4 linked regions of the Lepisosteus oculatus genome follow. The protein of the gene in region 1 purifies or fractionates together with the protein of each later gene. This does not show direct contact. Links are inferred from orthologs where the notes say so. Each region holds a gene or a part of one and is shown in the gene's direction. Other genes may lie near its edges.

The links.
Region 2: the proteins of FACT complex subunit SSRP1 (region 1) and chd1 purify together in Homo sapiens (affinity purification with mass spectrometry; 3 studies listed by BioGRID and IntAct, with this or other methods). This does not show direct contact. The link is inferred for Lepisosteus oculatus from reciprocal best matches to the Homo sapiens genes SSRP1 and CHD1.
Region 3: the proteins of FACT complex subunit SSRP1 (region 1) and mcm2 purify together in Homo sapiens (affinity purification with mass spectrometry; 6 studies listed by BioGRID and IntAct, counting the BioPlex papers as one, with this or other methods). This does not show direct contact. The link is inferred for Lepisosteus oculatus from reciprocal best matches to the Homo sapiens genes SSRP1 and MCM2.
Region 4: the proteins of FACT complex subunit SSRP1 (region 1) and sap18 fractionate together in Homo sapiens (co-fractionation; 3 studies listed by BioGRID and IntAct, with this or other methods). This does not show direct contact. The link is inferred for Lepisosteus oculatus from reciprocal best matches to the Homo sapiens genes SSRP1 and SAP18.

What each region holds. Positions count from the first base shown.
Region 1 is NC_090701.1:42,561,179-42,569,150, forward strand, and holds the start of FACT complex subunit SSRP1, read left to right. Parts: upstream 1-4,971; 5' UTR 4,972-5,397; coding exon 5,398-5,451; intron 5,452-5,779; coding exon 5,780-5,965; intron 5,966-7,359; coding exon 7,360-7,465; intron 7,466-7,938; coding exon 7,939-7,972. Other genes in the region: pold4 (DNA polymerase delta subunit 4), read left to right, coding at 1,444-1,468. UniProt on the Homo sapiens protein: Component of the FACT complex, a general chromatin factor that acts to reorganize nucleosomes. The FACT complex is involved in multiple processes that require DNA as a template such as mRNA elongation, DNA replication and DNA repair.
Region 2 is NC_090698.1:55,020,239-55,027,696, reverse strand, and holds the start of chd1 (chromodomain-helicase-DNA-binding protein 1), read left to right. Parts: upstream 1-4,452; 5' UTR 4,453-4,806; intron 4,807-5,154; exon of another isoform or gene 5,155-5,235; intron 5,236-5,800; exon of another isoform or gene 5,801-5,889; intron 5,890-6,219; exon of another isoform or gene 6,220-6,325; intron 6,326-6,459; 5' UTR 6,460-6,605; coding exon 6,606-6,658; intron 6,659-7,458. UniProt on the Homo sapiens protein: ATP-dependent chromatin-remodeling factor which functions as substrate recognition component of the transcription regulatory histone acetylation (HAT) complex SAGA. Regulates polymerase II transcription.
Region 3 is NC_090699.1:59,492,451-59,500,001, reverse strand, and holds the start of mcm2 (DNA replication licensing factor MCM2), read left to right. Parts: upstream 1-4,543; 5' UTR 4,544-4,613; coding exon 4,614-4,619; intron 4,620-5,621; coding exon 5,622-5,809; intron 5,810-6,596; coding exon 6,597-6,766; intron 6,767-7,551. Other genes in the region: ccdc51 (mitochondrial potassium channel), read left to right, coding at 1-68, 1,191-1,355, 1,930-2,676. UniProt on the Homo sapiens protein: Acts as a component of the MCM2-7 complex (MCM complex) which is the replicative helicase essential for 'once per cell cycle' DNA replication initiation and elongation in eukaryotic cells.
Region 4 is NC_090710.1:31,923,641-31,931,446, forward strand, and holds sap18 (histone deacetylase complex subunit SAP18), read left to right. Parts: upstream 1-4,800; 5' UTR 4,801-4,861; coding exon 4,862-4,933; intron 4,934-5,457; coding exon 5,458-5,567; intron 5,568-6,978; coding exon 6,979-7,101; intron 7,102-7,202; coding exon 7,203-7,359; 3' UTR 7,360-7,586; downstream 7,587-7,806. UniProt on the Homo sapiens protein: Component of the SIN3-repressing complex. Enhances the ability of SIN3-HDAC1-mediated transcriptional repression. When tethered to the promoter, it can direct the formation of a repressive complex to core histone proteins.

The sequences.
Region 1 (7,972 bases):
GGCTTTGCACGCTGGTTAGGAGTTAGGTAGGCTTTACACGCTGGTCAGGAGTGAGGTAGGCTTTGCACGCTGGTCAGGAGTGAGATAGGCTTTGCACGCTGGTTAGGAGTTAGGTAGGCTTTGCACGCTGGTTAGGAGTGAGGTAGGCTTTGCACGCTGGTTAGGAGTGAGATAGCCTTGCACACTGGTCAGGAGTGAGATAGGCTTTACACGCTGGTCAGGAGTGAGGTAGGCTTTGCACGCTGGTCAGGAGTGAGGTAGGCTTTGCACGCTGGTTAGGAGTTAGGTAGGCTTTGCACGCTGGTTAGGAGTGAGGTAGGCTTTGCACGCTGGTTAGGAGTGAGGTAGGCTTTGCACGCTGGTTAGGAGTGAGATAGCCTTGCACGCTGGTCAGGAGTGAGGTAGGCTTTGCGTTTCTTTAAGGCATGAGCACAGTTAGGTTTGCGCCACACATAGCACTTTGACTTTTGGCCGATCTTGGTCTGTCTTGGTCTCTTTGTCCAGATCTTAGCTGGATACCTCTTGTGCTGTCTGGTGAACTCCAGACGGGCTTTGAATTGTTTTTTTTGATGGGTGTCTTTCCTGCCATCCTCCCATACAGGCCAGTGATAAAGACCACAGCTCTTGATATAGCTGACTGATGCACCTCTACTCCACTCTCAGCCACTGAGCTCTGTAGGTCTTTCAGATTGATTGCTGGTTTCCTTCACAGGTCTGCTTCTTGTTCGGATGCTGAGTTCTGAGGAACAGCCTTTTCCAGGCAGTGTCCGGGTGGTGTGAGCACTGTTAGATTATTGAGCTGACAGTGCTCACTGGGATATCCAGGCACTGTGATATTTCTCGTACTCATTGCCTAATCTATCCAATTTTTAATCACTTTATCTCTGATGTCCTTAGAATGCTCTTTAGTCTTCATTTTCATGGCTTTATAGCTTTACTTCAGATTCACTGCCTGACCAATGATCCTGAAACACACTGGGGGTTTTATCCAGTAAATGTGACAGTCACTTCAGTAAGTGTGACAGTGACTAGGCAGGGGCCAATGGTAACACAATTGTATCCTTGTCAGGGCAATTTCATTCACCTGTGTTAATTCAGAGCCATGAGATTAGAAGGGCTGGAATACTTATGCAAGCAGCATATACACACCCGTATACAGTATATATACTGTGCACACTGTACACACAGTCTACTCTATCTATATACTGTGCATGTGCACACTGTACACAAACTCTCATTGTATATATATATACTGTGCACACAGTACACACTACTCTGTATATACTGTGCACAGTACACACACTCTACTCGGTATATATGCTGTTCAGTCTCTACACACTCTCTACTCTGGATATACTGTATACTGAAGGCATTGTGAGTACTGCAGAGCATAACTTGCCAGTGTGCACACAGTGTAATCAGTCCTTTTTCTGTGTCTTCCAGTCTGTGGCACGAGTACCCCCTGTGACCCAGCGCTGTGGAGAAGAGAGCGAAGAGTGAATGTCTTCAGTGTTACACACACCAGCACCTCTATTCCAGAGCCCTGCGCTCCTCTTTTATACTGGATTGTAATCACAGCTTTGACATAGTGATTGTTCAAGAAAGATTAAAATTTTAGATTTTGGAAACTGCATTTCTCATGCCTGGTCTGTCTCAGTGCAGTGTTAATGTCCTGTAGTGTCCAGTCAGTGTATCTGGACTGTATTAACCCCCTCTCTCTCAGTGGAGTGTAAATGTCCTGTGGTGTCCAGTCAGTGTGTCTGTACTGTATTAACCCCTTTCTCTCAGTGCAGTGTTAATGTCCTGTAGTGTCCAGTCAGTGTGTCTGGACTGTATTAACCCCTCTCTCTCAGTGCAGTGTTGATGTCCTGTAGTGTCCAGTCAGTGTGTCTGGACTGTAATAACCCCTCTCTCTCAGTGCAGTGTTAATGTCCTGTAGTGTCCAGTCAGTGTGTCTGTACTGTATTAACCCCTCTCTCTCAGTGCAGTGTTAATGTCCTGTAGTGTCCAGTCAGTGTGTCTGTATTGTATTAACCCCTCTCTCTCAGTGCAGTGTTAATGTACTGTAGTGTCCAGTCAGTGTGTCTGGACTGTATTAACCCCTCTCTCTCAGTGCAGTGTTCATGTACTGTAGTGTCCAGTCAGTGTGTCTGGACTGTATTAACCCCTCTCTCTCAGTGCAGTGTTAATGTCTCTCTCTTGCTCCTTCTCTTATTTTCTGTTCCATTACTCTGTTTTCATCTGTCCCCCCTTCTCTCTCCCTCCTGAAACATGATCTTCTACATCTCTCTGTGTTAAACCTATTCACCTCGAAGGCACTCATTAAACACTTCAGATTGATCTCTTTATCGCTCATAAAAGAAGGAGAATTTAAAATGAAAGAGAGAAGTATTTTAATGTGATGGTAACACCCATCTTCTTTCACAATCGTTCCTTCACACACACACACACACTCCCTTTCCTCTGCATTCAAACACATCAGCCTGACACCTTGTACTCTCAGAAAGCAGAGACGTGTTGGGATTTTCTTTTTTGTTTCCACTTAAAGCTTCACTTTTGAGGAAGAGTTGTGGGAGTGTGGAACAAGCTGCCCAGCCATTTTGTTGAAACTGATACCCTGATGTCTTTCAAGAAACATCTGGATGAAATTCTTGGATCAATTAACTGCCAATTATCAAAGAAGGCGAGATGTGTCAAATGGCCTCCCTTTGTGACTTGTGATGTTTTTCCGAGTATACTTTTACAAAAACAACGTAGTTTTCATGTACTGTAGAGTCCACTCTGTGTGTACTGTATTAACCCCTCTCTCTCAGTGCAGTGTTAATGTCCTGTAGTGTCCAGTCAGTGTGTCTGGACTGTATTAACCCCTCTCTCTCAGTGCCGTGTTAATGTACTGTAGTGTCCAGTCAGTGTGTCTGGACTGTATTAACCCCTCTCTCTCAGTGCAGTGTTAATGTACTGTAGTGTCCAGTGTGTCTGTACTGTATTAACCCCTCTCTCTCTCAGCTGTTTCCGTGATGCTGCTGGTTAAGACCTCATTGCCAGATGGTACAGTTTTGTGCAGGAGGTATACGTTAAGTTTAAGCAGTGTAGGACTGCTTAAAAGCTCTCCTGTTTCGTCCTTAATTGTGAAAGTCTCTGGTCTCTCTCCCCCCTCCCTGGTCTCTCTGTTGGAACAGGACTAATCCTAGATTACCAAAGCAAACAGAGTGTATCTGTCTCACTGTGTTCAGTGCCTCTTCTTTCTCTTCCTATTGTGCCCCAGTCATTCCTGAAGCATTAGCAGTGTTTGCTGGGTGATTACTTTAATACCTCCATGGCACCTCACTCTGACAACTGCTACACCAGACTGCACACATAGTGTGGCCACAGCTAGTGTGTGCATGGTGCAGGAGAGAGATTGTGTGTTTTGTGTGTACAGTATGTGAAAGGGAGTGTGTGTATTGTGTGTACAGGGTCTGAGAGAGAGAGTATGAGTGTGTATTGTGTATGCAGTGTAAGCAATTGTGTGTATATTTCACATGCAGTGTGTGAGGAAGTGCGAGGGAGTGTGTATGTATTGTGTGTCAGCAGGTGTGTGTGTAGTGTGTGTAGTATGTGACAGTGAGTGTATGTAGTGTGTGTAGTCTGTGTGTGTGTAGTCTATTTGTGCAGTGTGTGTGCAGTGTGTAGTGTGCATGTGTAGTGTGTGTGCAGTGTGCATATTGTGTTTGTGTAGTGTGTGTGGTGTGCATGTGTAGTGTTTGTGTAGTGTGGGTGGTGTGCGTTTGTAGTGTGTCTGGTGTGAGTGTAGTTTGTGTAGTGTGTGTGTGGTGTTTGTGTAGTGTGGGTGGTGTGCGTTTAGTTTGTGCAGTGTGCGTGTCGTTTGTGTAGTGTTTGTGTAGTGTGGGTGGTGTGCGTGTAGTTTGTGTTGTGTGTGTGGTGTTTGTGTAATGTGGGTGGTGTGCGTGTAATTTGTGTAGTGTGTGCCAGGAAGCGCGGTGTTTTTACAGAACAGTCCGGACAAACCCGCTGCACTGATCGCTACAGCCCGGCTGCTTTGTTTCCCCACAAGGCTAAAGCTTTCAGTTCACAGACCCCATGAATTATACATTCCTCCATCTTAAATTATATTTGTCTGTATCTTTGAAGTTTTTCAAACACTAGAGTGATTCTGTCCAGAAAAATATTATTGGACGTATTTGCGCCTCCCTGCGACACTGAACCGACAGCGGCTGCTCCGAGCACGAAAACCTCAAGCGCGGTCTATGTCTCCCTCTGCTGTCAGAGTGTGTGTGTATCGTTTATACAGTGTGTGAGAGTTATTGTGTATACAGTTCGTGTGTATTGTATATACAGTGTGAGTGTGTGTGTGGTGTATACTTCATGTGTATTGTGTGTACAGTGTGAGTGTGTGTTGTGTACTCAGTGTGAGAGAGAGTGTGTGTATTGCATATACAGTTTAAGTGTGTGAATTGTGTATACAGTATGAGAGTGTGTGTATTGTGTGTAGAGTGTGAGTGTATTGTGTGTACAGTGTGAAAGTGTGTGTATTGTGAACACAGTGTGAGAGTGTGTGTGCATTGTGTATCTAGTGTGTGTGTATTGTGTATACAGTTTGTATGTATAGAGTGAGAGTGTGTGTATTGTGTCCAGTGTGTGAGTGTGTGGATTGTGCACTCTGTGTAAGCGAGTGTTTGTGTATTTGTACACGTATGAGAGAAGCAGTTTGTAGAGCGTGTTTACTGTGTTGTCTCACTAAGCCCATATAAACTCTCCGAGGCCAAGACAGCGCCTCCACGGTCCCCACGGATTGTGTGCGCTATTACGGTAAAAGAACAACAATAACCATACAAATTTATGCGTTGTAAAGGTCGATAGTTCATATAGATTGTATTGGGTTTGGCTCGCCCTTTTCAAGCGGAGGCAGAGTAAAATACATTGCGCCAGTTCATTGTGTTATACGGCAGGTCGTAAGGAAGCGGAAGTCAACGCTTTGAGTTTCCGGCTCCTCTTCCGGTAGAGGCCCAGGTGGCGGGTTTGACGCGGGAAAGTGTCTTCTGTAACACAAGTAATCACGATTTCCGAAGACATTTTACAACAGGGGCACCGAAAGTTGTAAGTCCAAGAAGACTAAGCGCATGTCCTTTCATTTCTTCGCAATCGAAATTAACAGTTAAGAGACGCAGCTGGGGCACCGCAAAGCAACATTTTAAACCCCTTGTTATTTATGCGCTACGTTGTGTTGACTCGGCGTGGTGACTTACTGAGCGCCGGGAGAGGAGTCGTTGGTTTCGAATCGTGCCGGGCACTCGGAGCAGTACCATACCGCACCTCGTTGTTGATAGAGCCCGTTATTTCGCAGCTACAGACATTTGAAGTCTCAGTTTTTAACCCGTGGAGTGTCGCAGTGGAAAAATGGGAGACACTCTGGAATTTAACGAGATCTACCAAGAGGTGAAAGGATCGTGGGTGAGTTACACTGAGCTCTCTCTTCCTCTGCATCTCGGATTGAGAAATATTCAGTGGTGACGAGGGGCTTATAATTTTGAGAATTTTACTGTTGTTTGTAGTCGTAGGATATACTGTATATTCTCTCTCAGTGCAGTGTTAATGACCTGTAGTGTCCAGTCAGTGTGTCTGGACTTTATTAACCCCTCTCTCTCAGTGCAGTGTTAATGTCCTGTAGTGTCCAGTCAGTGTGTCTGGACTGTATTAACCCCTCTCTCTCAGTGCAGTGTTAATGTCCTGTAGTGTCCAGTCAGTGTGTCTGGACTGTATTAACCCCTCTCTCTTTCAGAATGATGGTCGTCTGCGTCTCAGTAAGCAGGCTGTGGTGTATAAGAACAGTAAGACCGGGAAGGTGGACAATATCCCCGCGAGTGAGCTGACAGAGTGCGTGTGGCGGCGAGTGTGCCTGGGTCACGGGGTGAAGCTGCTGACCAGCACAGGACACATCTACAAATACGATGGCTTTCGGGAAAGTGTGAGTACACTGGCCAGCCCCCTCACACGCCGCCAGAGATCGAGGACAGGGATGTTGTGCCGTATGGATTTCATGAGCAGGGTCTGTCTGGCGGAGTCTGTTAGGAGAGATGTCTTGGCTGCAATAGAATGACAGGGGTTATGCTGAGCGTGTGTCTCTAGTACTCTCTCTCTCTCTCTCTCTCTCTCTCTCTCTCTCTCAGTGTACAGCCCTGTGAGAAGACGCACTGTCAATTCAATTCAAGGTGCTTTATTAGCATGACCGATGGGTACAATCAGTGTTGCCAAAGCAAATGAAAGTAAAACAAAAAATAGAAGTAAAATAAAATCTACAGACATTTACAACAAAGACATATTATAAAATATTGACATATACTTTAGGCGGCTGGAGCATTATTGGGAGACAGACTCACCGTTCCTCAGGCTGTGACAGGAGCCTGGCCATAGAAACTGGGCGACACAGGCAGACCTGGCTGCCCGGAGAGGACAGGCTGTGCTCCCACTGCCAGCGGGGAGAAATGGAGACAGAGGTGCACTTCCTACTGCACTGTGAGGTCACTGTCTCTCTCTCAGTGTACAGCCCTGTGAGAAGACGCACAATTTAGTTCAATTCAAGGTGCTTTATTTGCATGACCAATGAGTACAATCAGTGTTGCCAAAGCAAAACAAATACAATTAACGTAAAACAAAACATCTACAGACGTTTACAATAAAGACACATCATAAAACGTTTACTTATGGACATATGGAGCATTATTGGGCTACAGGTTCACTGTTCCTCAGGCTGTGACAGGAGATCACATACTGGGCTGCCAATTCAACTGAGTTCCCTGCTCCCTCTCCCAGTAGGATTGGGACACTCTCTCATTGTACAGCCCTGTGAGAAGATGCACACATTAGTTTCCTTCCTATCTGTTATCGGGTTTTGCATTAGGATGTACAGTAGATGTTCGTAAACATCAAACATCTAAAGAACACATGTTTATTTGAGAAACAAGACGTCTTAATAGAGCTGCAGTCTTTTCCCAACGGCATCATGTAGCTCTGGAACGTGTGAATGATCTCTTCAGAGAAACAAAAATTGTCGTTCAGCAATCCTGGAGCTATTTGGACCAAGTTCAGTGCAACATACAGTCTAACAAGTTGATGTTGGTGTGCACTTACAAGTGGATGAGACCTCTGAGAGTTTTGTGGTAGATGATTTCTAAGGAAGCCCGATTGCTAGTGTACTGGTGCGGGCAGAGCACCTCCATCTGGATCAGAACGAGTCCGCTGTCCCAGGTTGGGAATTGTGGTCCTTCGTGTCCCCCAGGTGCCTGCCTCTCAGTGGGGTCCTTGTAGGTCTGTGGGCCTGGTGCCCCCCTGAGCTGATGTCATGCCCTCTTATGTCCGCAGGACTTTGAGAAAATATCGGAGTATTTCAAGAACAATTACAGGGTGGAGCTGATGGAGAAGGACCTGTGTGTGAAGGGCTGGAACTGGGGTACAGCCAAGTTTGGAGGTACGCCTTCAGGACAAGTACAGACAGGGTGTCATCACTGTTGTCAATTTCATACCCTTATGCAGGAGGGTTTAAGTATGAAAAAATATATACTCAGTGTGTGAATCTGTATCATACTAACCCTTCTCTCTCAGTGCAGTGTTAATGTCCTGTAGTGTCCATTCAGTGTGTCTGGACTGTATTAACCCCTCTCTCTCAGTGCAGTGTTAATGTACTGGAGTGTTCAGTCAGTGTGTCTGGACTGTATTAACCCCTCTCTCTCAGTGCATCCAGTGTTAATGTACTGGAGTGTTCAGTCAGTGTGTCTGGACTGTATTAACCCCTCTCTCTCAGTGCAGTGTTAATGTACTGGAGTGTCCAGTCAGTGTGTCTGGACTGTATTAACCCCTCTCTCTCAGTGCATCCAGTGTTAATGTACTGTAGTGTCCAGTCAGTGTGTCTGTACTGTATTAACCCCTCTCTCTCTCTCTCAGGTCCTCTGCTGTCATTCGAGGTCAGTGACAGTCC
Region 2 (7,458 bases), on another chromosome or scaffold:
CTCATGTCTTCACATTCCACATAATGAAAGAATTGTCTACCGGATATGTTCATATCCAGTTGAAAAGAAAAAACAGATAATGAATTAGGCCTCATAACCAGACTGTGAGCAGAATAATCTGGAGACAATCCTGGATGTCTTTCTGAAATTAATAATGGGAAATTTATAATGAAAGAATTGTCTGCTTGAAATGTTCATATCCAGTTGAAAAGAAAACAAATATAACAAATTAGGCCTTATAGCCAGACTGTGAATTTCCCTTCTCTATTAGGCAACTGAAAACACCTTTCAGACATTGAGTCATCCCTTATGAGTAACCCCCCAATTCAGGCATTATCAGGGAACAAGAATTTAAATAAATTTACTTAATCCATGGATAAAGCTTGAACTAAAGATATGGAACACAGTTACAAAAGAGTATCACTTAAGTGACGCAGTTAAGGTACTCAGATACACAGGTGCATCCACATTAAGGAATTTAAACAAAAAAGATTGGATAATAGATTTAAAGTTTGGAGAAAAAAAGAAATAAGGGCATTTTGTACTATAATGGATAAGCTTTTAAAAGAGAGACACCATTTGGAGAAGCAAGAATTATAGATATTTCTAAGTGTGCCCTAAATCACTAGTGATATTAAAAAGGGAGAACTGTATATTGATGATGCAGTGGTGAAAGAACAGTAGTTATGGAAGCCTACAAATTGGAATCAAGTAAGGGTATTATATCTAGATTTTATAAGGGTTTTATGGAAAATGAATTACATTCTACGGATTATATAAAAGGTAAATGGGTGAAAGAAAGTAAAGTTAGGGTTACAAATGAAGAGTGGTTTAAACTTTGTGAATTTCAATAGAGATATACTACCTCACATTTATGGAGATAGTTTTGCTGGAAAAATGTTGTTTGATTCTTTATTACTCTGAGGCAGAAGGCACACCCTATTAGGGGAAACTCTAAATGATGGAGACATTGTGGAAACCAAGAAGGTAATCCCATATTTTGGGAGTGCCCCTAAAAAAGTATTTTCTGAACGGATTTACATGAGGCCCTGGAGAACTTATTTGAAAGGAATTTACTCTTCACATTTGAGCTGTTATATATTATGTTTACTTAAGGGTTACTGATAAGGTAAAAAAGACTACAAGAAAGTGGCTTCTCCTGGGTTTACCAATAAATGATGGGATTGAGTCAATAAATGAAATACATATAGTGGAAAAATTAATATTTTCACTTAAATTACAGAAGAACAAATATTGGTCTAGATGGGTTAATTAAGTACATTAAAACTTAGAAGTCTGAATTTGTTGAGATGCAGAATAACTGAAACCCGAATTAAGAATGAACGTTTACATACTGTTCTTGCTCTTCATAATAACTTACGCATCTTCTTTATTTTGAATATTAGGAGTTAGGTAGAAAGTGAGTGAAATAATTGTAAAAGATTACGGGAACAGATGAGAACAGACTAAATTCCTATGTATGATGTATATTTCCAAATTTGTTTGGTAAAAGGATGGTTGTTATGCAACTTGGACTGTTTTTGTCTGTTTTCTAAACTAAAAAATTAGAAAGGAAAACACCTTTCAGAACTAAATACAAACAGTAATCCGCTTGGAATACGGTGTAAAGCTTTGGTTGCTGTCTTATAAAAAAGCACTGAATTGGTCCAAAGAATGGCAGACAGAAGCATTCTGGGGCAGAACTTCTTAACCTTAAACAAAGACTACGGGGGGACCTGATCCAAGTGTTCAGAGTCCTGGAGGAAAGGGACAAAATCAACGCAAAGGACTTCATCCAAACCCACAGTGAAACCCTAACCAGAAGTCATGAATGCTAACAAGGCGGATGTGCACTGGAAACGGGGAACAGGGGCTGTTTTTGTATGCAAGAGTTGTGGACGTTATGGGACGAGCTGCCCAGCCATGTTGCTGGAGCCCGTAACCTGGTTTCCTTCAGGAGATCCCTGGACCAGTTAGCTACTCAGTGTCAAATGGGCCTGATGGCTTGAAGGGTCCCCTCTCCTTTGTAACCCTTCTGAGGTTCCTAAGAACATATATTATGTATCTTACTACAGCGTATATGTTAGAATACATAGTTTTAAAATAAATCTAAACAGATAAATAAAAACAATGAATTTAGCTACACATATTAACTTAAACAAAATAAATATAGGAAAACTGGCGACATGATAGCAGCTAACAAGATGCGACAATAGCATATAATAATAAAAGAAGAATAATAATAAAAATACATAGTAAATTCTTAGAAAAGTCAATGAATTGCATCAACAAGGACAGACCACAATTGGCAACAAAACAGGTACAGTGTATACTGTATAAGTTCAGGTGGGTAGCTGCATCAGCATGTGTAGGCTGCAAAGGAACAAGTAATAGGTTTACTCCATGCTGAAAAAAAAGAAGAGAGAAAACACAACGTTTCAGCAGTGGAGCCTTCTTCAGGTGCAAGCCTTCTTCAGCCCTCACACCTGAAGAAGGCTCCACGGCTATTACAGTTTATATAATACTAGAATACACAGTTGACCATGTACTGTATATACTGTAGAACAGAACAATTAAAAGATAAGATAGGGTGATTGCTGGAGGGTCCAAGGCTCCTCTGTTTCTAATGTAGCTCTCTTATAGTTGCCATTTTCAGTTCAGCGTCATATCTCCTCACATGAGAGGACATGGTACAATTAAATCTTCAACAGGATAGTGTGACAGAGTCGCAGCTCAGAAACCTTTGCAGAGGCTTGCCTGGGACAACAGGACAGGAAAGAAGCCCAGGAGGGGAGTTCAACCTAGAAAAATTACCAAAGGAACTGTGGAAAAGACTGTTGTAGATGCAGTTTTTAATTTTTCAGTTCAGAAACATTATGTGGAAAGAAAAGGTGACAATGACAGCTGACACATGAAAGGAAAAACTGATGAAAATGTGGTATGGTACCTTGAGTAAGACATGGATCTGAAGTTTCTTTGGTGTCCCAAAAAGAAAGTAGGCACAGCACAGAAACAACGCAGTTCCATCCTTCAGGCTCATAGAACTTATGTTGTTATAGGTGGTGGAATTGTAATTCTACTTTCGACAAAAATCCTAATCCTAATGATAATAATAACAATAACAAAAATTAAAAAAACGTAATTTTATATAGTGCCTTTAAAGGTGGCTTCTCAAAGCGCTACAAAAATCCTAAACTTACTCTCAGGTAAAATCTTATTAAAATTAGAAAGTAAATATCCTGAATTAATGTGATGATACTGCCAAAGTCCTGATGTAAACACTTTTGAAGAATTATATAAATATAATTATATAAATATAACTTGACAGGACAGTGCAAAAAAAAAGCTCTTAGCCAGCTTCTAAACTGGTGTGATGGGAATACCTTAAACAAATGCTCCTGTGATTATGGGCCATTTCATGAACAATCTTTACAAAACAACTACCTGACTTTTATTGCATTGGATTCTGAGAAGATCACAAAGTTTTCATTTTGTGCTTTTTTCTGCTTGTTTTAATTTCTTTAATATTGTCCAGGTGACCCCGTAACTGTGACTGCCTTTATACATGTGCTGTATATATACCATATATGTTTACAAACATTTCTCAGTGTAACTGTATCCACATTAAAAACATGCTGTGTGTTTTGCACTTCTCTAGGTAGTTGCTTTTCCTGTTATTTTCAAACTGTGTTTTTTTCTATTTGTATGTCCCTTTCATATACAGCATTGAAGGATTTAATCTTTTGAAAGTAATCAGGAAGACCCTTGAGGCACAGTTACGTCAAGGGATCGCTGGGGTTAACAATTGTTCTGCTGGCATTCCTCAGTGGGTATCAGTCTGGCCTTGTCTGAAATGGTTGATCAGTTTATCCCCATGACCCATTCTCATAATGTAAATATACGCGAGAATACTTTTTTGTTATGGAACGATAATTTCATACGAAACATAAAAGTGTATGCTTCTATAAGCAAACTCTTTTCACCCTCAATCAGAAAGCGATTTCTTAAGGTGAGACTTCAAGGGCAGTTTTAATAGGCTCTATATGTTATCACAAAAGACCTGGGAGGCGGGATGGGTAACTCGAGTGTTAATACTGGTTCAGACATAGATACTCAGTGAACTGGGGCTACGCAGCGCCCAACACGGAGCAGGGAGACGTATCACCCGGGTGTCCGTCTGACTGAAGTGCGGGAAATGGAGAAAAAAAAAAACACGCCGATTTGAATTCCTTCACAAGCGTAGTCAGGCTGGAGAACAGAAAGCTACCATCCTTCCAGCCGCGCCAGCCAATGGTGGTGCACTATCTTCTTTGGCAATTGTTTCCAGGGCAGTGACACCGCCGACACCCCCTCCTCCGCGCGGCCTCTCCTTTCTCCCAGGTCCCGTTCGCGAGTCGCACTCGCGCAGCTCCCGAGTTAGCGAGCGCCGGCGTGACGTCACGGCCCGGGGTTTCCACTCTCCGGATAGGCAGAGTGTGTGAGCTCGACGGCGTCATGGCGGAGGCCGGCAGAGAGAGGACCCGTAACTGATCTGGCTGCAATCAACAATCTTTCGATTAAAGAAAGCCCGTGCTTCGGTATCGAAAGGAGAAACTGGGGAAAAAAGCATATTAATACCTCCCCCCGACCCTTCTGGCAGCCCGGAGGAGGAACCCTGAGGGAGCCGGGCTCTTACGAAACCCGAGTTTACAACCGAGCCGAAGTGGTACTCAGCAGCTCACAGCGACACAGGACCTGGCAAAGAAAACAGAAATTGTTACAAAAAAAGGAGCCCGAGAAGTCGGACGGAGGCAGGCGACCCAGGAGGTACAAAGCGAGGCGCGACTCGCGTGTATGTGTGTGTGGAGGGAGGGGGGGGCTGAAAACGCGGGGAGACGAGCTGTGGGGGGCACGGTTGCCCCCAGTCAGCTCGAGAAAGGCGACGATTCCTGGGCGCCGCGAGACGGACGTGCACGGGGAAGAGGGGACAGCGGGCTGGCGCGTGCGGTGTGTCAGTATGCGAGCGCGCGGAGGACGGGGTCCGGGCGGCGAGGCGGCGCGGGGATAAAAGAGCCGATTGTGCTGGAGGGCAGCGGGGGGAAAACAGGCTCCGGACTGGGGGGTCTGTCACCCCCGGCTCACGGTTTTTAAAGTGGGAACCCGAGGAAGGGATGGCATTTTGTTCCTGGCTTAATGCGATTAACGAAAATCGGCCAAACTTTTTTTTTTTCCTCTTTAAAATGTGCACCTTCTGAAGTAAGTTTTTTTTTCCTGCTCTGGTAAGGTGCTGGCTTGCTGTTGAGAGAAATATATATATAAAAACAAACAACAACAGACCGAATACGTTGTAAATCAAACGCTTCTCGAAGCCCGTCCGGTTTGCCCACCGCGGCGGCGGCGTGGTCTGCCCGGCTGCGCGGCTGAGGGCGCCGCTCCGTGCTGCCGGTCGCCGGCGGGCTGCAGGGAGGATGCGGGCAGAGGCGCTCCGGCGGGGATCTTTGTTCAGGAGAGTCCGCCTCCAACTCCAGCACGCTGCAGGCCTCGCATCTGGGCCTCTGCGGTCTAAGAGAAGGTTGCATCGCATCGTTTTAAGATTTGGAGACCGGGCCTGAATTACCCACACATGTCTCTTACTTCTAGCCGTTTAAGACTTGGGTTTCGTTGGGGTTTTTTTTTTTATCCGAACGATCAGTTCGACTGCGGGTTGATGTTTCTGACAATTGTGGCGGCGGCGGCGGCGATGGTGTGTGTGTGAGGGGGGTGTCCTCGACATGATTCTTGTAAATAAACAGCAGAAGTGTTGATGTGAAACGGAGCCCGTCGCGGTGCCGGGGCGAGCTGGCGAGCGGATCCTAGGTCAGGGGGAGCCATGCCGAACTGGAAGGGCGACAGTGCCGACAGGAACGCGACGTGAGTTTCTTCTTGATGTTTGCGGGTGTTTTCACACGCTCGCAGGAGCAACAGCTGAAGTTGGAAACGGGAGCGGTAGCAAAGCGTCGCTTCCACGACGTCGCTCGCAAGAAGTGCCCAGAAGGAGCGGAGCGACGGCAAGTTGATCCGCGGCGGTTCTGCCGGAATTCGGGGAGGCACGTCCGGGTCTCCCGTTAGGAAGATGGACATGAAGGCATGTCCCTTAGTTACATGTGTATAAAATAATTGCCACGGAAACGGCTCGTTTGTTCTTGCCTGAATAGTATTTTACTCTTCATGGAGGAGGGGCGGTGATAAAAGGTCAAGACGTCGCTAATTCGAATGAAGGTTGAGCCCCAGTACCAGTGTTTCCCCGAGACGGGGACCAGCGGAAGGTCTGTCCCCGGAGGGGCCGGTGACTTCGGCTCTTGATTTGGTGGGTGTTCAGTCGCCGGTGGCGTTCAGTGCAACACTACCGGAGCAGACCGAGCAAAAAAAAAACAACACAAGTACCGTGACAAAGCAGCTGCGACTCGGTCGTGTGATAAACGTGTCTCGCCCACTTTCTAGGCTACCCGGAGCCGCTGAGGAGTCCTGGATGAAGAAACCGCAGTCCCTGTAACGCTTCAGTCATCAAAAGTGGTCTGGACCCGTTTGCGTTCTTCGAGCACCTGGCAGAGAAGGCCGTGGAACCGGAGCTGTTTCCGATTTAAGAAATGGATGGGCGCAGCGACGAAGAAAGTGTGAGCAACAGCAGTGGGGAATCCAGGTACGGTATCGTGTCGTCTCTGTCGAAACATCGAGTGCGCTGCTTGAAAGTGAAGAGCAGGAGAGGCACTGCCTGTGCTTTTCTTCGCCTTTTAGAGTTTGGAAAGCGCAGCAACCACACATTTTAGCCTGTGTAGTGTAAGGACATACGTGATGTGCTGTGTGAGGGAACTTTAGTATAAGTCGGTGTAAAGGAAAGGGTGAAGGAGCTGGATGTTGGTCCATGAAGATATGGAGTTCTGGCTCTGTACCTGTGAAGTGTGCAGTCAAGATCGGTGGCACAGAATATGCACCTAGGAGAGTTGAGTTCCGGAGGTGTGGAGGTAACAGATAACATCAGCAGTCTTCAGTCATATTGGTAAGGCATACATTGGTGGCTTGTGACCCTGGGAGGTTTTCTTGGGGCCTGGCACTAGCAGCTCTGCCTCTTAGTTTACTGAGCTTTAAAAGCCCAAACACTCTGAATAAGGATAAAACTATGGCTTTGTTTTAACGAGAAAGTGTTCAAGGAGAAATATGTGGGACAAGCTCTTTATAACTCGTTTTTGTAGCACCATAATGTAAAATCTTAAGGGTTGATGTTCTTTAAGTGCTACACTGGAATTACACTGTCAGAAAATGTCTTCAATTCAACTTTATTGTCATTAAACTTACACAGGTGCATAGTATAATGAAAAGTGTTTCTCATTAGTCACTCAGGTGCAGTATATAAATAGGACAGAAGATAAGACAATAGACAGTTACACAATAGCAATAACAGTAACATGTAATAACATAAATAACATGTAATGTATTTTACTA
Region 3 (7,551 bases), on another chromosome or scaffold:
GGTGGGAGAAATATGAGGAGTTTGTGGGGCTGAATGAAGTCCGAGATGCACAGGCAAAAGTCACAGAGGTAAGTGGGGGAAGTTACAACTACACTGCACACTAGTACTGAGAAATAAAGGAACACGTTTTCTACAGTTCTGCCGAAATGTTGGAAGAAAAATCCCCAAAAAAGCAGTACAATGATAAAAAGTGAAACATAAAAATAGGATTTAAAAATAAATTGCTTATTTTTATTTAAACAAATAGTATACCACAATTTCTTTTTCAGTTAAATGATGTTAGACAGTTGTGCTGCATCGCTTACCTAATATGCTTGGGTCATACATTTATAGATGTACTGTGGATGTATCTACGGCTGTTGTCTTTACATAATGTGAAGGTGTTTATAAGAGAAACATTCAAAGACACTGTGCAGACCTTGGTTAATAAAGTAATAGTAAACCTTAAACCTTTAACTTGTAACTAAAATTTTGTATAATATACAAGCTACCTATAAAGAAGCCATTAGCATTTCAACTGTTCATTTCCCAATACCTTGGTTGTATCTTTTCTTTACCCAAATGCTAAATGTTTCAAATAACATTTCACTGTAGAACAATAAAAATGGTAATGAAATAATCCCCTAGGATTGGTTTCTATAATTCTACTGCTCTCAAAAGCACCTTAAGACCAGTAGATTTATAGATTCTGATATTAGATCCCCTGGAATCCTATGACAGGGGCTTAATTAACTGATTCTTAAGCTCAAAAAATGTTTCAGAAAAAGGAAAAGTCAATTGCCCTGTCTTTATTTCAGTCTTATACGGCACACCACCAACATTCATAGTAGTCATTTACATACCCTACCAATACCTTTAATAAGAAGCAGAACGTCATCCTCATATAACATTAGTTATTTGTAAATATAACATGTATTTTCTTAACCTTGATAATTAACATTTTTAATAAGTGTTTATATTACACTTTTTTTTTTCTTCTTCACATACCCTCCTATAGGAATCCTATTTTAATTCTAAAAAATGTGGTATAGCCTTTCGGGTGTTTACTTGGCTTGTCCATCAACAGTGGGGAAAACCAAATCTTTCCTCCTTGCTTTTGATAATAGACGTTTGTAAGGCTAGCCTGGACCTGTTGGTTCAGTTAGCTGCTCGTGAGTTGGAAAATGAGCGAGGGTTTCTGGGTTTCTCAGGCGGAGCAGGCTTTCATGGTGGCCAGGGGGATCGTGCGGGAAGCCCACGAGAGCCTGGAGGCCCTGCAGGTGAGGCTGAAGGAGGTCCGTGATCGGCTGGACCGCGTGTCCAGGGAAGAGGTGCACTACCTGGAGCTCGCCACGCTGGAACACAAGCTGCTGCAGGTGGGCGAGCCCGTCATTCTTTTCGCTTGATGTTAAAACGCCACTTATTACTGCTGTCTCGGTTTCCCTGTCTGCTTTCGTACTTCATGGCGCTTTTTTTGCAGAACTGTGCTGTCGGGAGCCCGGCATTAAATGATTTATAAGTACAGTAGAAAGCCCGTGTCTAAGGAGCTACATTCAGAGCGGTGTCATTCACTGCGACACGCTAGTCTGGCTCTCCGCCATTTCTGAACACCACTTCTTCTGTGACCTACATTGTCTGTCCGTTGGTGCTAGTTATGTACATTCCTCTGAGGAAATGTTTGTTGCCATTACCTTTTGACAGATTGATTTTTCTGGAGGGCATTGAGGGATTTTTTTTGAAGGCACTCTTTTCAGTTAGAGCCCCAAGAAAGGAAATCTGGAAGAGACTTCACGCCAGAACGACAGGATCGGGGAAAAAAAAACCTGATTCCACACTGGGTTATTTAAAGGGGGGTGGGAGGTGTGCTTTTGTAATTTAAGACAATAGGGGTTGACTTTCATCTTAATTAACTTCTGGAACCCTGTGCTTCATTTTGCTTCGCTGTTTTAGGAGGAGCGTCGCCTCCGTACGACCTACAGGAACGCAGAGGAGGCGGAGCGGGAGAAGTTTGCCCTGTTCTCGGCCGGGGTGCGGGAGAGCCACGAGAAGGAGCGAGCCAGGGCTGAAAGGACAAAAAACTGGTCCGTCATCGGCTCGGTGCTGGGGGCCCTGATCGGAGTGCTGGGGTCCACCTACATCAACAGAGTCCGTCTGCAGGAGTTGAAAAGCCTCCTCCTGGAGGCTCAGAAGGGACCTGTGAGCCTCCAGGAAGCAATTAAGGTGCAGGCCAGTATACATGAGTCTCAGCAGGAGGAGCTCGGCGGTCTCATTAATAGCCTGAGGGGCACTTTGCAAGGACCAAAGCCAGCCGATAAGGCAGGGACAGCTGCAATCAAGATACTTCCAAGTGCCTCTGATTCGGACTTAAAAGAACAGTTGCTTTTCAGCAAGAAGATCCATGGTTTGATTGAAGGCATCCAGCCTCAGTTAAGAAAACTGGAGCATGAGATGGGGAAGGTGGCATCTGAGCTCCAAACAGTAAAGGTGGTCATTAGGTCTCGCCCAACAGAGAACCAGCTTTTAAAGTCCCAGGATGTGCAACCCTATGATACAGAGGGCATCATGCTGGAATTGACCCAATCAGAAAAGAGACTAGAGGCACAAATAAACAGGAACACTATGTACAACACAGTTTTAACATACACTGCTTTTGCACTAACACTTCCTGTGCTGTACCTCATCTTTAAAAGCAACTGAAACAGAATTGAGGAATTCTAGATAATCTGACTATTCCTTTCAATTAGTATGTGCATAATCAATTTACAGCACTAGATAATGAATCATCTTCTGTGAATCTCTTACATGAAACATCTCACAATAGAGACTGGTATGTCAAAAGTGAAACATTGTTAAATCATTCTTGAAATAAAAGCTAGTAACATTATTTTGTGTGTGTGTGTGCATTTGAAACATTCTTAAAACTAAGTCAGAAGTAATCCCAGGTAATATAGTAGGTATGCATTAACGGTGTGTTAAAAAAATCAGAATACTTTTTTAAGGGGGAGGATTAGGTCTTTGGAAAAATAATTTGGTTATCTGTTTTGGGACTTCTTTGCTTTATAGTTGATTTTTTTTAGCCCTAGCCTAAAAAACAACATACAGTATGTGCAAAGAGAAACTAATGTGCCAAGTAGTTCAAGTAGAAATAACACCAATACACATACATAACTCAGTACAACACAGTTGAGTCTTTTATATGTTTGGAATAACGTTCAGAATTCTGCTCAAATACTTTTACAGTATTTTTTTGCCAATAAATCATAAAAAATGTCAGCACTATATATCAACCTTCAATCCAAAGAAATACACATCTATGCATATATACATTTTACAGTGAGTCTTTTCTTGTCAGATAAAAATAGAAATATTTGTGTTTTATGTTTTATACTGTAGAGCTGTGCAGACAATTTAAATTGAAAGAAATCCATTAACCCATTACTCTAACCACTTTATGCAATACAGGGTCATGATTCTACTCCAGCAAGCAATAGGTGCCAGAAAAGATACACCCTGGATGGAACACTAGTCCATCTCAGGGGCATACACAGGCACAAACACACACACACTCGCACCAGGACCGATTTTCTGAGGAGCCAATTAACTTACCAGTATGTCCTTGGACTGTGAGAGGAATAAAAAAAATACATGATACAACAAAAGTGTAATATGGAAGGTGACAATGCTGGAATATGCTGTATTAAATCAAAACAGGTTCAAGCACAACTACATAAATACGCTACATCTGAAAAATCTGTATGGTACAGGCATCCCACGGAACTGATTGTTTCACCCAGTAATGAGTATTGTTCACATCACTTCAGCCTGGGAACTTCATATTGAAACAGGGATCTGCATTCATATGAAGTCATGTCAAATATCTTCTGCTACGGGGAGATAAGACTACAATAACCTACTGTTGCTCTGGAAATGGACATGAAGTAAAGTGATTGGAGGGTGATATGTGATATAAAACGTGTGTTCTACAAACAGTTATGACATCCCTACAAAACTGAATGACTCCATTTAGAATACTTTGTCAACCATGCCATAAGAACATCTCAGTTTTGTAAAACGTACGAAGAAAGGTAAGTGGAGGTGAATGTAAAGTCCATCTCTCTGTGAAGATAATAATTAATAATTATATTAATAAATAATTAATAAATAATAATTTTGAACTGAGTAATAAAACTCCTAAACCTACTAAACAATGTTAGGCTACACTAATGTAGTCCGGTGTTCTTACGCTAATCAGAGTATGCGAAACCAACCCCCAGATCTTGCCTTTAAAGAATATAAGTGTTTTTCAGTACAAAAAGGACGCACTCCTATCAAAAGTACGGTATTGGAAAACACGTGTCTTAACTAACAGCAGCGCAACGAATCTGCTAAAGTAAAGCTACTTGCTAAGCACCTCCCCCATTTCCTGGGCTGGACTAAAAGTGGCCGGACATGGGTTCAATATCCGTGACTAATGAATATTTATAAGTCATGGACCAATCGGAAAATGCGTTCGTAGTTCTAAATTAAATATTCATACGTTTTCGCGCGCTTTGCTGTCACATGGCCATTTCGCGCGAAAAAGAGAGAAACAGCAAGTTTCCTTGCAGGAGAGAGAAAGTACCAGGAGCTACAGAATGGCCGTAAGTAGAGAATGGAATTATTTTTGTTTTACCGATAGTGAATCGCACTTTTTTTAAAAAAATTATCGTGTATATTTGAAGTGGAGAAGATTTACAATCTATTTTTTTCGTTCGGTTTAGTTAGGAATTTGAGCTTTGTTATTAGGCTTTGAAATCATTTTCATGTCCTAAACCTTAAGCTTGAGTTATTTTGCACTCGAAAAGCAGTCGTTTGGGTTAACGCTTGCTTTATAGGTTTTGTAAGAATCATTCTTTGTTAAATACTGTTAGGATAGGAGGTGAACCGGAACGTTATATACGGTGTATATATATGTGGTGTCTGGATTCAGAGTTAAAAATCACTTTTAAAATATTTACGGTTGTGTTTATGAGTTTTTTAAGAAACGTTGCTATATTTTTAATTTTAAAGCAAGTGTAGTCTAACGCGGCTTTTGGATTTTAGTGGGAAGTGAGGTGAAAAGGTTTTCATTGTGTCATTCTGAGGTTTACGTTCTAAAGTAAGGAAGGATGTTTTAAAAGTGGCGTTCCCATTATTTTAATGATGTAATTTAGAACATCATCCTCAAAATGTAACTGTGGTTAGTAGAACTACAGAAGCATTCGAGACAGTGCGCTGCTCTTTGTGTGGTAGAAACTCCCTGAGCACACTTGTTCGACTGAGCCCTGCTCGCCGGTGACTGATGAAGATGTTGGAAAAACAAACTCCAGAAGCATTAGTGTTCAGAAGGCGATTTTAGTCCAATCTGCGTGCCTTCATTTCAACTTTTAATTCCTGGTGTCCTTGACGGCCCTCGGTAACGCAAACAACGCTGGGTTATGTAAAAAGGAGGAGCCAAATATCAAATTTCTACAGTGTCTAGTCCATTGCTTTTTTTTTTTTAGGGTTCTTTGTAGGAGTTCATATATTCATCATTACTTTTTGGTCCTGTAGTGTAAAAAAAAAACCCAACAACAACTAGATGCCAACCAACAGAATTTGAATTGAGCTCATCTCGTTCCCAGGATTCTTCCGAGTCCTACAACATTGCCACTAGTCCCAGCCAGGCATCCCGGCAGGGTGATCTGACGTCCAGCCCCGGCAGAGATCTGCCCCCCTTCGAGGATGAGTCCGAGGGCTTGCTGGGAGAGGACCCCCTCCCCGAGGAGGAGGAGGAGGATGGAGAAGAGCTGATCGGGGATGGGATGGAACGGTGAGTTCTGCGCTGACTGCTTTGCCGCGATCATTGTGCACAACAAATGCATCTCGCTTTGGCATGTAGCATTTCAGCAGGTAATTACAGCGCGGTGCATTCTTTCGCGTTATCTTTTGGAGTATGGCATAAAATATTGAAATCACCACAGAGGTGAAGTTAAATTGCCTATCGGGCAGTACTTTCCTGTAGGAGTTTAAGACCAAATGTAATGGCGTTGGAAAGATCCTGTCGGAGTTATAAAGTACTGTTATTTTTGTGTTTGGTGTATGTTATTCGACAGCTAATAATTCAATTATGTGGAGTAGAACAGTGAGTTCAGTTAATTTAAAACTAGTTGCGTTATAGGATGGACAGTGATCTAGCAAGCTGCAGGATATATAATAAGCCTAATGCATTGAAAAGCTTAAAAAGGTATTGCAGGGTGTAGTATTGTGAATCATGGCAAACAGAATTATAGTGTGCTTATGTTTTTGCTAATGATGTATCACTGCATTAGTGACGGCACATGTGGGGAATCTTTGTTGGAAGAAAACTGCAATTTTAGCTGTGGGTATTAAAAGATCCTACAGGTTAATACTGTTCAGCATTCTATAGCTTTTAGAGCAATGCCTTGTTTTACCAGGAATTAGAGGACTACAGCAACCAAAACCTTTCTTAATTATTCTGTGCATATTTGTGGTCAATAAAAGGGATTGCAGGAATTTGTGTTTTTTTTTAGAGACTTTGATCACTTTTTTGATGCTTCCAAAAGCAACGTTTTAGTTCATTAAGCGTCTGTCTGCAGGGACTACCGGGCTATTCCAGAGCTGGACCGCTACGAGGAGGAGGGGCTGGACGATGAGGAGGATCTGTCGGAGCTCTCGCCCGGCGCCCGAGCCGCAGCCGAGGAAGCCATGAGGAGACGGGACCAGGAGAGAGGACTGGGGGGGCGTCTAAGAAGGGGGCTGCTGTATGGTAAGTCAGCAGTGATCCTGTAGCCCAGTGAGTGAGAAAGTCCCAACTAAATCTTCCGGTGCCCAGAGCACATTCAGTAACAGGTCTTGTCTGAGAATGACATGAGTTCATTTAATCACATTATAGACCAGTGTCATAGGGCGGAGCGGTGGCTCTATGGCTAAGGATCTGTGCCTGTGACTGGAAGGTTGCCGGTTCAAATCCCGCAGCCGGCAGAGAAATCCTACTCCGTTGGGCCCCTGAGCAAGACCCTTAACCCCAACTGTTCCAAGGTTGCCGTATAAATGGCTGACCCTGCGCTCTGACCCCAAGCTTCTCTCCCTGTCTGTCTCATGGAGAGCAAGCTGGGGTATGCGCAAAGACAAATTCCTAATGCAAGAAATTGAATAGGGCTAATAAAGCGACATTATCATTATCTTTAACAAGTAGAGGTGTCCAGAAAGGGGAGTGGATTTTCTGAGTATTATATCGCTATTATACATGACAAGAAAAGGTACTGTTGTGTACCGTTAACATAGTGTCTCAGAACTAAAAGAGGAAAAGCTCACAGTGTAGAACTGTTATTTCCATCCTAATTGAAATTGATTTCTGGTCAGAAAAGTTTTATGCCTTTTAATTCCGTTCCTATGGAGGGTCCATTCTCTTTCTCCTCATGAGGAAGGGCTTAAGATTATTCTTTAGAATTCCTGAAGATCACATTGACCCCTTTTCTGCAACAGCCCTGTATATTTGGGGGAGGATCACCTGGAAGGAAATGAGACTAACGTTTGCACTTTGCCCATTGT
Region 4 (7,806 bases), on another chromosome or scaffold:
CGCCGCCGGTCAGGTCTGCAGCCGTGGCCACACCCCATCACCCCTCCTGGGGGGGGAGGGATCTGGGGGACTCGGCAGCACCACCTGCACCGCCCTGCGAGACGCCGTGAGAGCCCCTTCTAACCCGCTGCTTCCCAGCACGCTTCTGCAGCAGCGCCTCCTGGACAGCTGTGTTGTTCCTACATTAGGTGCGCGATAAAACTACCTCATACTGCAGCGTGCTAACATTTTAAACACCCTAAAATGTCATTGGTAAGGAACATTCTGGATTTCTTCCATCTCCAGCATCATTTCCAGAAAAAAAAGGCGTGTTCTGTATAACGGAGAAAGAAAATAATATGCAACTTGTTTAAAAAGTTCGGAACGTGGGCAGGAGATCTTGACACGTCTTTATAATAAATATAAGACACACCTCTCCTGAAAACCATGCGGCTGCCTGCAGCTTACACTACCTCTAATGCGACTAAATTAAAAAAAAACCCTGATCAATCTGATAAATTACAGGGATGCTTCTGAAGTAAAACGCTGAGCTTTTATAGACGTCTATCGATACCTTTTTGCAATAAGTGCAATATCGCACAATAATGGAAAGGATAACGAACGCGGAGGTGTCCGGCCACCGCAGTCGAATTGAACCCGACTCTGCAGTTCAATCAACAACACAAACAGCGTGGCCGCTGGGAAGGACATGGACGCGACAACAATGTTTCACAACCTCCCAGTTCACAGTTCACACACAGTGGTGGGACGGTCAAGTTCATCTTTGTGCCTCTTAAAACAACACCCAGCTGTATCCTGTAACATCTGCTTTTCGAGAGACTTACACTCGGATACCGACCAGACTGTAAACGGGTTTTGAAGTCTGTCATACAGACGGCGGAGTTCATGAGAATCGAGAGACAGGGGCAGCGGGCGGCAGGCACGATATGTGCAGCAGCTCGCTGGGAAACACATGCAAGAGACGACGGTGCCCATTTAAACCGTGGTAACAGTGTCAGCTTTGTAGCAACCCGAAAAATGTTAAAAATGTACAAGACAGAAGCAGACGCTGCGCTGAACCCATCAACCGATACAGAGTATATACACGTCCACGGGCACCGACAGACGGGGAATTACACGATCTGCCCCCTCGTTTAATTTCTCTGCCAAGAAAAAAAAATCGGCACATTGAAAACGTTTTAGGCACTCAGCTCTGCTGCCGTTTTTCGGAACTTCGACTTGCATATGACAAAACATAATCATTACTGGCTGTGCTCTCTTCTCCCCACCTCCTTCTCGACAAAACGATGAAAACCCCTCCGACACCTTACCATCGTCTCACGGGCTCGTCTCGGTCCTTCGGAGCGCTGGCTGCCTCCCCAGCCCCTTCTGCAAGCCGCGTGTCTTTTATTTAGATGGCAGATCCCTAGTTAACGTCGTTCCCCCCTCCAAAAAAAAAAAAGTTAAGAAAAAAAACTTCACAGAGCCTGTTCGAGTTGGGGCTGAAAGTTTGCGATCTGGTCCTGATTGGAGTGACTGGAACGCAGGTCCGGAGAAGGAGCCCGACATTCCACCTTAGGGAGACTTTGAAGTTTCATCGGCCACCCCCCCCCTTCTATATATGTTGGCATGTGCGTGCGTGCGCGCCTTCAGTTGAAGACGAACGCCCCTACCCGCACCCCACATCGGCTGTCGAGAACAGAAATACATTTACGATTTTTAAAATTAAAAAAAAAATCATCGAACCGCCGAAAAAAAATCGAAAAGTTGCACCTTTCCCAGACGCGGGAGCATAGCAACCACTCGCAACAGCAAAACGCGTGCATTGTAAGAAAAAGTAACGGTAAACTCTCTAAAAACAAACAAACAAACAAACAAACAGAAATGCATCAGGAGAAGGGGAAAGTTACCTTATCTGCTGCTGCTGCTGCTATCGTGAACGGGGCTGTCCTTCAGCCACCCAGCTCAGCTCAGTGCCTGCGGCCGGGGCTCACGCCGGTATGAGGCTCCATTTTCTCCCTACAGTGGGCTGAATTAGGACGCTGTGCTCAGTTGGACACTTTCTGCATCGCTCGCATTCCAGGGGGAGCACGTGACGCCCCCGGATCACGTCAGCGGCCCGCGCGCTCGCGGACTGGGGGGCGCTTCTAGCGCTCGAGCGCGGCTTCGTGACCCAAGAAGAAAAAAAAAAACAAAACAACCAAAAACCCCACAGACGCGCAGGGCGCCCCGGGAAGCCAGGAAGCCGACTGGCAACACGCCCGAATGTGTGTCTTTCTGTTTTGTCACCCCCCCCCACACACACACACAAATCCCAGTGTTTAGGCTGAAGTCGTTATTGAGCCGCAAAGGAACAAGTTTTAGGTTCATTCCCGGCTGAAAAGAGAAGGAAGACAACACAACGTTTCGGCTGTTGAGCCTTCTTCGGGGGGTTATTCAGCCTGAGCAGATCTTAAAAATCAGTTGTTGGCTATAGAAATCGCGTCAGCTACAGATAACTAAACGTTCAGTTCATAGCTACAGGTGACTGTACATTTGGTTAAACGTACAAGGCCCCAGTAGCCAAAGTACAATTAAAACCCAGTCTTAGACGTAATAAATGAAGGAAAAACAAACATGCACTAGGAGCGGCAACCCCAAAAGTGAACGAGGGGCAGGTTGGTGAAGATCACCTCAAGACCCGCGTTAATTTCCTGCCATTTTAGCCAACATAACGCGTAAGAAGAAGCATCAATAACGCAGGACAGGATGAAACAGTCGCTAGGCTCCGGTTACTGAGGCTGGAGGGGTGCTTATTGTTTCAGATCTAAGCGGCCCAGAGCACTAAGGAGTGAAAATGTGCCGCTGGAAAAGCGTGTTAGAGTGCAAAGCAACCGACTAACATCGAGGGAAACCGACAAACGGCTTCCTTGTTTCAATGCTGTCATTGCGCTCTGGACAGTAAATCTAAGGACGAACCGTTTTGTATTGTTTTAAAACACGTCCAAACATCCACATAATTATCACGCATATTAATTCACGCACAGAGCGCTTTAAACACCATTGAGTTAACTCATCCAGATTAGATTTGAATAGCCTGGTCACCAGGACAGCCTCTTCTGAATCGGCTAGTTTGTGACAGCTTCTTCCAAGTGACAGTTTTGTTGTTTATAATTTCTTCCCACTGACCCTCTGTACCACAGTCCCCAGTGTCTCTCAGCTCCTTTTAATAGCGCTGCGATCCGGTTCGTCACGCGTTGCATGAGCAGATCTTGCTAGATGTACAGCTACAAGGAGAGCTGAGGAATTCAGTGTGACAGACGTGTTTGCGCCTGAATTACGTCGGATTATATCTCCTGGTAGTGATGCGGATCAGCTGGAAGACCGCGTTGTGTTAGAAAGTGAGCTATTATCTTTGTGACCCGTGGACCCGTTATGAGGTCCCACTGGGAAACACGACACAGGTTCGCAGACTCAGCCCGTCAGGAGTTACAGTCAAAGAGCCGCAGTACAGTCGGGGGGGGGGGGGGGTCTGACTGTAAATATGTTTCCTCCCTCTTTGTAAACCAGAGGTACAGTATGGAAAGGAAAAAAAAGCAGAGCAGATATTCTTTTCTTATCTCTCTACAGACCAGAGTGTCTCAGTGCATTAATAAAATTCAAAATGTTGAAGTACTGAATAAAACATAATAAATACCTCTATCAGTTCCACAGAGTGTTGAATTGCTTCATCTACGGATTGCTTAATATCATTTTTTTTTAATGAGTGACTCTTGGATGATCTCAGCCAGTAAAAACCTTCCGTTCAAAACTGAAGAGATGGACGTATTTTTCACAGAAGCAGGAAAGCGGACACCTACTGTAGCACACAAGCCCTAAGGAATGGCCTGGGCTGGAATATCTTGAAAGCACACATTGAAAGTCTCGACACAGGTAAAATAAACACAAGAACAGAATGGATACGGGCAAAAGGAGGCTTGTTTGGTTATTAAAAGCAAATTGACCTGGGAATCTTATTTAGCCTTCTCTTTAAAGAAGCAAAGTCAAATACACGCAACTACCAAAATAATGGAAACACCAACAATATGACATATTAATAACATCTTCAATGGTACATACTGTAATACAACTGCACTTTACAAAAAAGATTTAACAAGATAAGTAAAGATAAGGAAAAACTCTTGGGAAAAACTAAGGTTGCTGCTGGAAGAGGTGTTAGTGGGGCCAACAGGGGGCGCTCACCCTGTGGTCCATGTGGGTCTTAATGCCCCAGTATAGTCAAGGTCCTGACTCTCTGTGGTCATTAAAAATCCCAGGGCATTTCTCGAAAAGAGTAGGGGTGTAACCCCGGTGTCCTGGCCAAAATTTCCAATCGGCCCTTACCAATCATGGCCTCCTAATAATCCCTATCTATGAATTGGCTACATTACTCTGCTCTCCTCCCCACTGATAGCTGGTGTGTGGTGAGTGTTCTGGCGCACTATGGCTGCTGTCGCATCATCCAGGTGGGGCTGCACACTGGTGGTGGTGGAGGGGATCCCCATTACCTGTAAAGCACTTTGAGTGGAGTGTCCAGAAAAGCGCTATATAAGTGTAAGCAATTATTATTATTATTATTATTATTATTATTATTGTTATTATTATATAAGGTCCGCACAGCTGTCATGTTCTTACTGTTAGAAATAATCACCTTTAACCTAAGCACTTCAGAATAAAAAGGGTGTGCGCCTATTTTAGTCATTATACGATACGGAGAAGTCGCATTTTGATTGGCTCCATAGCCTTTAAGCTCATTCGCGGGCTACGTATCCTGTTACGTCATCACGACCCGTGGGTTGAACCGGAAGTTATACTTGTGTTTGTACGGGGTCGGCGTGAAGACGCGGGGGCGCTTTCTGGGAAAATGGCTGTTGAATCTCGAGTCACTCAGGAAGAAATCAAGAAAGAACCCGAAAAGCCCGTCGATAGAGAAAAGGTGAGTTGTGTTAAGCCGTTTTTGTCTATCGAAGATGCGCACGCACGGTTTGAGTGGTGCCTTGTATTTTGTTTTCTGGAAATGTGTGGAACGGTGTTGTGTTGGTCTCCATTAAACGCTTCAGTAGGTATGTGCTGTGTAAAACTGTGTTTTCATTTCGTGTTTCTTCGCATTTTGGGTAGTTGTACAGTGTCTCCCTCAAAGACAGTGAGACTTATTGAGTTTTCAGTTAAAACGATTTACTTTCTCTTCCTAATTGCTGCCAAACGTGTGCGATGCGAAGCAATACGAGTTGAGAAAACGGCGATAAAGTATATGTTTTTCTCACTTTCTTTCCTTAGTGAGCAAAATATACTTAAAGGTCATTTATTTACTTACAACGCGATGAATGTAGATGTAGCTAGCAAGTTTGTAATGCATCTTTTGTGAAACACGATGGTGAGCAGATACCACGCTTGAGACCACCTATCGGTTTCCCGCAACTGAAAAAAGCTAGGTACTTATTTTTGTTGTTTTGTTTGCAGACTTGCCCGCTGCTGCTGCGGGTGTTCACCACGAACAACGGCAGACACCACAGAATGGACGAGTTCGCCAGGGGAAACGTGCCCTCCAGCGAGCTGCAAATCTATACCTGGTAGGTCTGATGACACTTCACACCACGGGGCTCCCTGCTTGGGCCGGGGGAGCCCCACCCCAGCAAGTTGTTTTATAGGTCATCATAAAATAAGCAGTTTCTGAAGATATGGACCAATTCCACTGTAACCACCCCTGGAGCAGCTGGGGTTAAGGGCCTTGCTCGGGGGCCCAACGGAGTAGGATTCCTCTGCCGGCTGCGGGATTTGAACCAGCAACCTTCCAGCCACAGGCACAGATCCTGAGCCATAGAGCCACTGCACCGTTAAATTAATTTAGAGATATTTTAGGACTAAAATCTATGTACTTCTCAGATTTCAGGGATTAGTTATATTAATGATATCCTTACACCTATATAGCTCTTTTCTGGACACTGTACTCAGTGCTTTGCAGGTAATGGGGATCCCCTCCACCACCACATGGATGATGTGGTGGCAGCCAGAGTGCTCCAGGCTGCTCCCCACACACCAGCTCTCAGTAGGGAGGAGAGCAGAGTGATGAGGCTTATTGGGAAGCCATGACTGGTAAAGACCAGGGGGAAATTTGATCAAGACATTGTGGTAACACCCCTACTCTTTTTGAGAAACACCCTTGGATTTTAAATGACCACGGAGAGTCAGGACCTCGGTTTATTGTCTCATCCGAAAGACGGTGCCCATTTACAGTTTGGTGTCCCCGTCACAGACCCACACAGAACGCAGGGTGAGCGCCCCCTACTAACACCTCTTCAGCAGCAACCTGAGCTTTCCCAGGAGGTCTCGCATCCAGGTATTCGCCAGGCTCACACCTGCTGAGCTCCACTGGGTTGCCAGCTGTGAGTTAAAGGGTGATAGAGCTGCTGGGTCTCTGTTAATTGAACAGATTACTTGCTTGGTCAGTGTTGTCTTACAGTCTTTAAAAAGAAGTTGAGCAGTACTGGGGCTCTCCAGGACCAGCTGGACAGACTAACTGACCAGAAGAACAAAGCTGTTCACCTCTGCAGGTGCCCAGACCTGTTGCAGAGCCCTGATCCGAGAGACGTGGGCCCTGCGCTATCAACACGCGCCATTGGATATGGCATAGTTGTGGTGGTACTCAGAAGGCCAATGCTTTCATCACAAGCAATGAAATGACAAATGTAACTCTGTTGGCCTGCTTGTTTTAATATGCCAGGTCGAATTCAACCGGAACGCCAAACTTTTCAAAAACTACAAGAATGATCTTGCAGAATCTGCTGCCAGCTCCCCTCCCACGACCGTGGAAAACCTTAAGCTGTGCTGAAAGTGCAAATTTATTGTCTTGAGGTGACATTAGCCAAATATGGAGTAGTTATGTTTATTTTTCAAATGTTCTCCTGCTGTTGGAGCTGAAGTTAAGTGCTGAGTCTTAGCTTCCGTCTTGGGTACTTTAAAGAGTAATATTGTCTCAAATAGGATGGATGCTACCTTGAAGGAACTGACCAGCTTGGTGAAAGAAGTCTATCCAGAAGCTCGGAAGAAAGGCACGCATTTTGGCTTTGCCATCGTGTACCCTGACCCTAAAAGACAAGGCTACAGGTAAATACCTTGAGAAATACCGCCGTTACGGGCCGAGCTTAAACGCGCAGCGGCTGTGTTTGAACTGTGACACCTAAGATGATCTGCCCTTGGTCCTGTAGAGTTAAAGACATTGGGAACACGGTGTCCGGGCGGAAAGGAGCAGACGATTCCATGACTCTGCAATCGCAGCGGTTCCAGATAGGAGACTACCTAGACATTGCCATAACGCCGCCGAACAGAGCGCCGCCCCTGCCTGGACGCATGAGGCCCTACTGACCGCCGGGGACTGCGGCCGCTACGTTTTATATCCCCTGTGTTTCCTATTAAAGCCTTTTTTTCCTGCCTTTCCTGATTTAATTAATGTCGCTGTAGCTTTTTTTTTCTGGAAGCGTTTAAGGAAATTTAGTTTGAAAGCTCCTTTCATTTTTTCGTGAATTTTAATTTGCGTTGGATTTGGTAATTCAATTAAACGATTTCTGTGAAGGTGTTTTTTCTGAAAGAAATCTCGTGTGGGGAGTATGACGTTTTTTTAAAGGTGGGGTTTGTGTGAGCGTGCGTGACTGGGTCACAGGTGTGGAGTAACAGATTTACAGGAATTAAAACTTTGAGATTAGACCCTTGAGGAACCTGGTTTGGTGTTATACTGCTATTCGTCCTTGATCATGCTAGATGGCTGGTCTGGTTGATCACACTGTGCCTTGGTCTCTGTTAACCCCTCCAAAC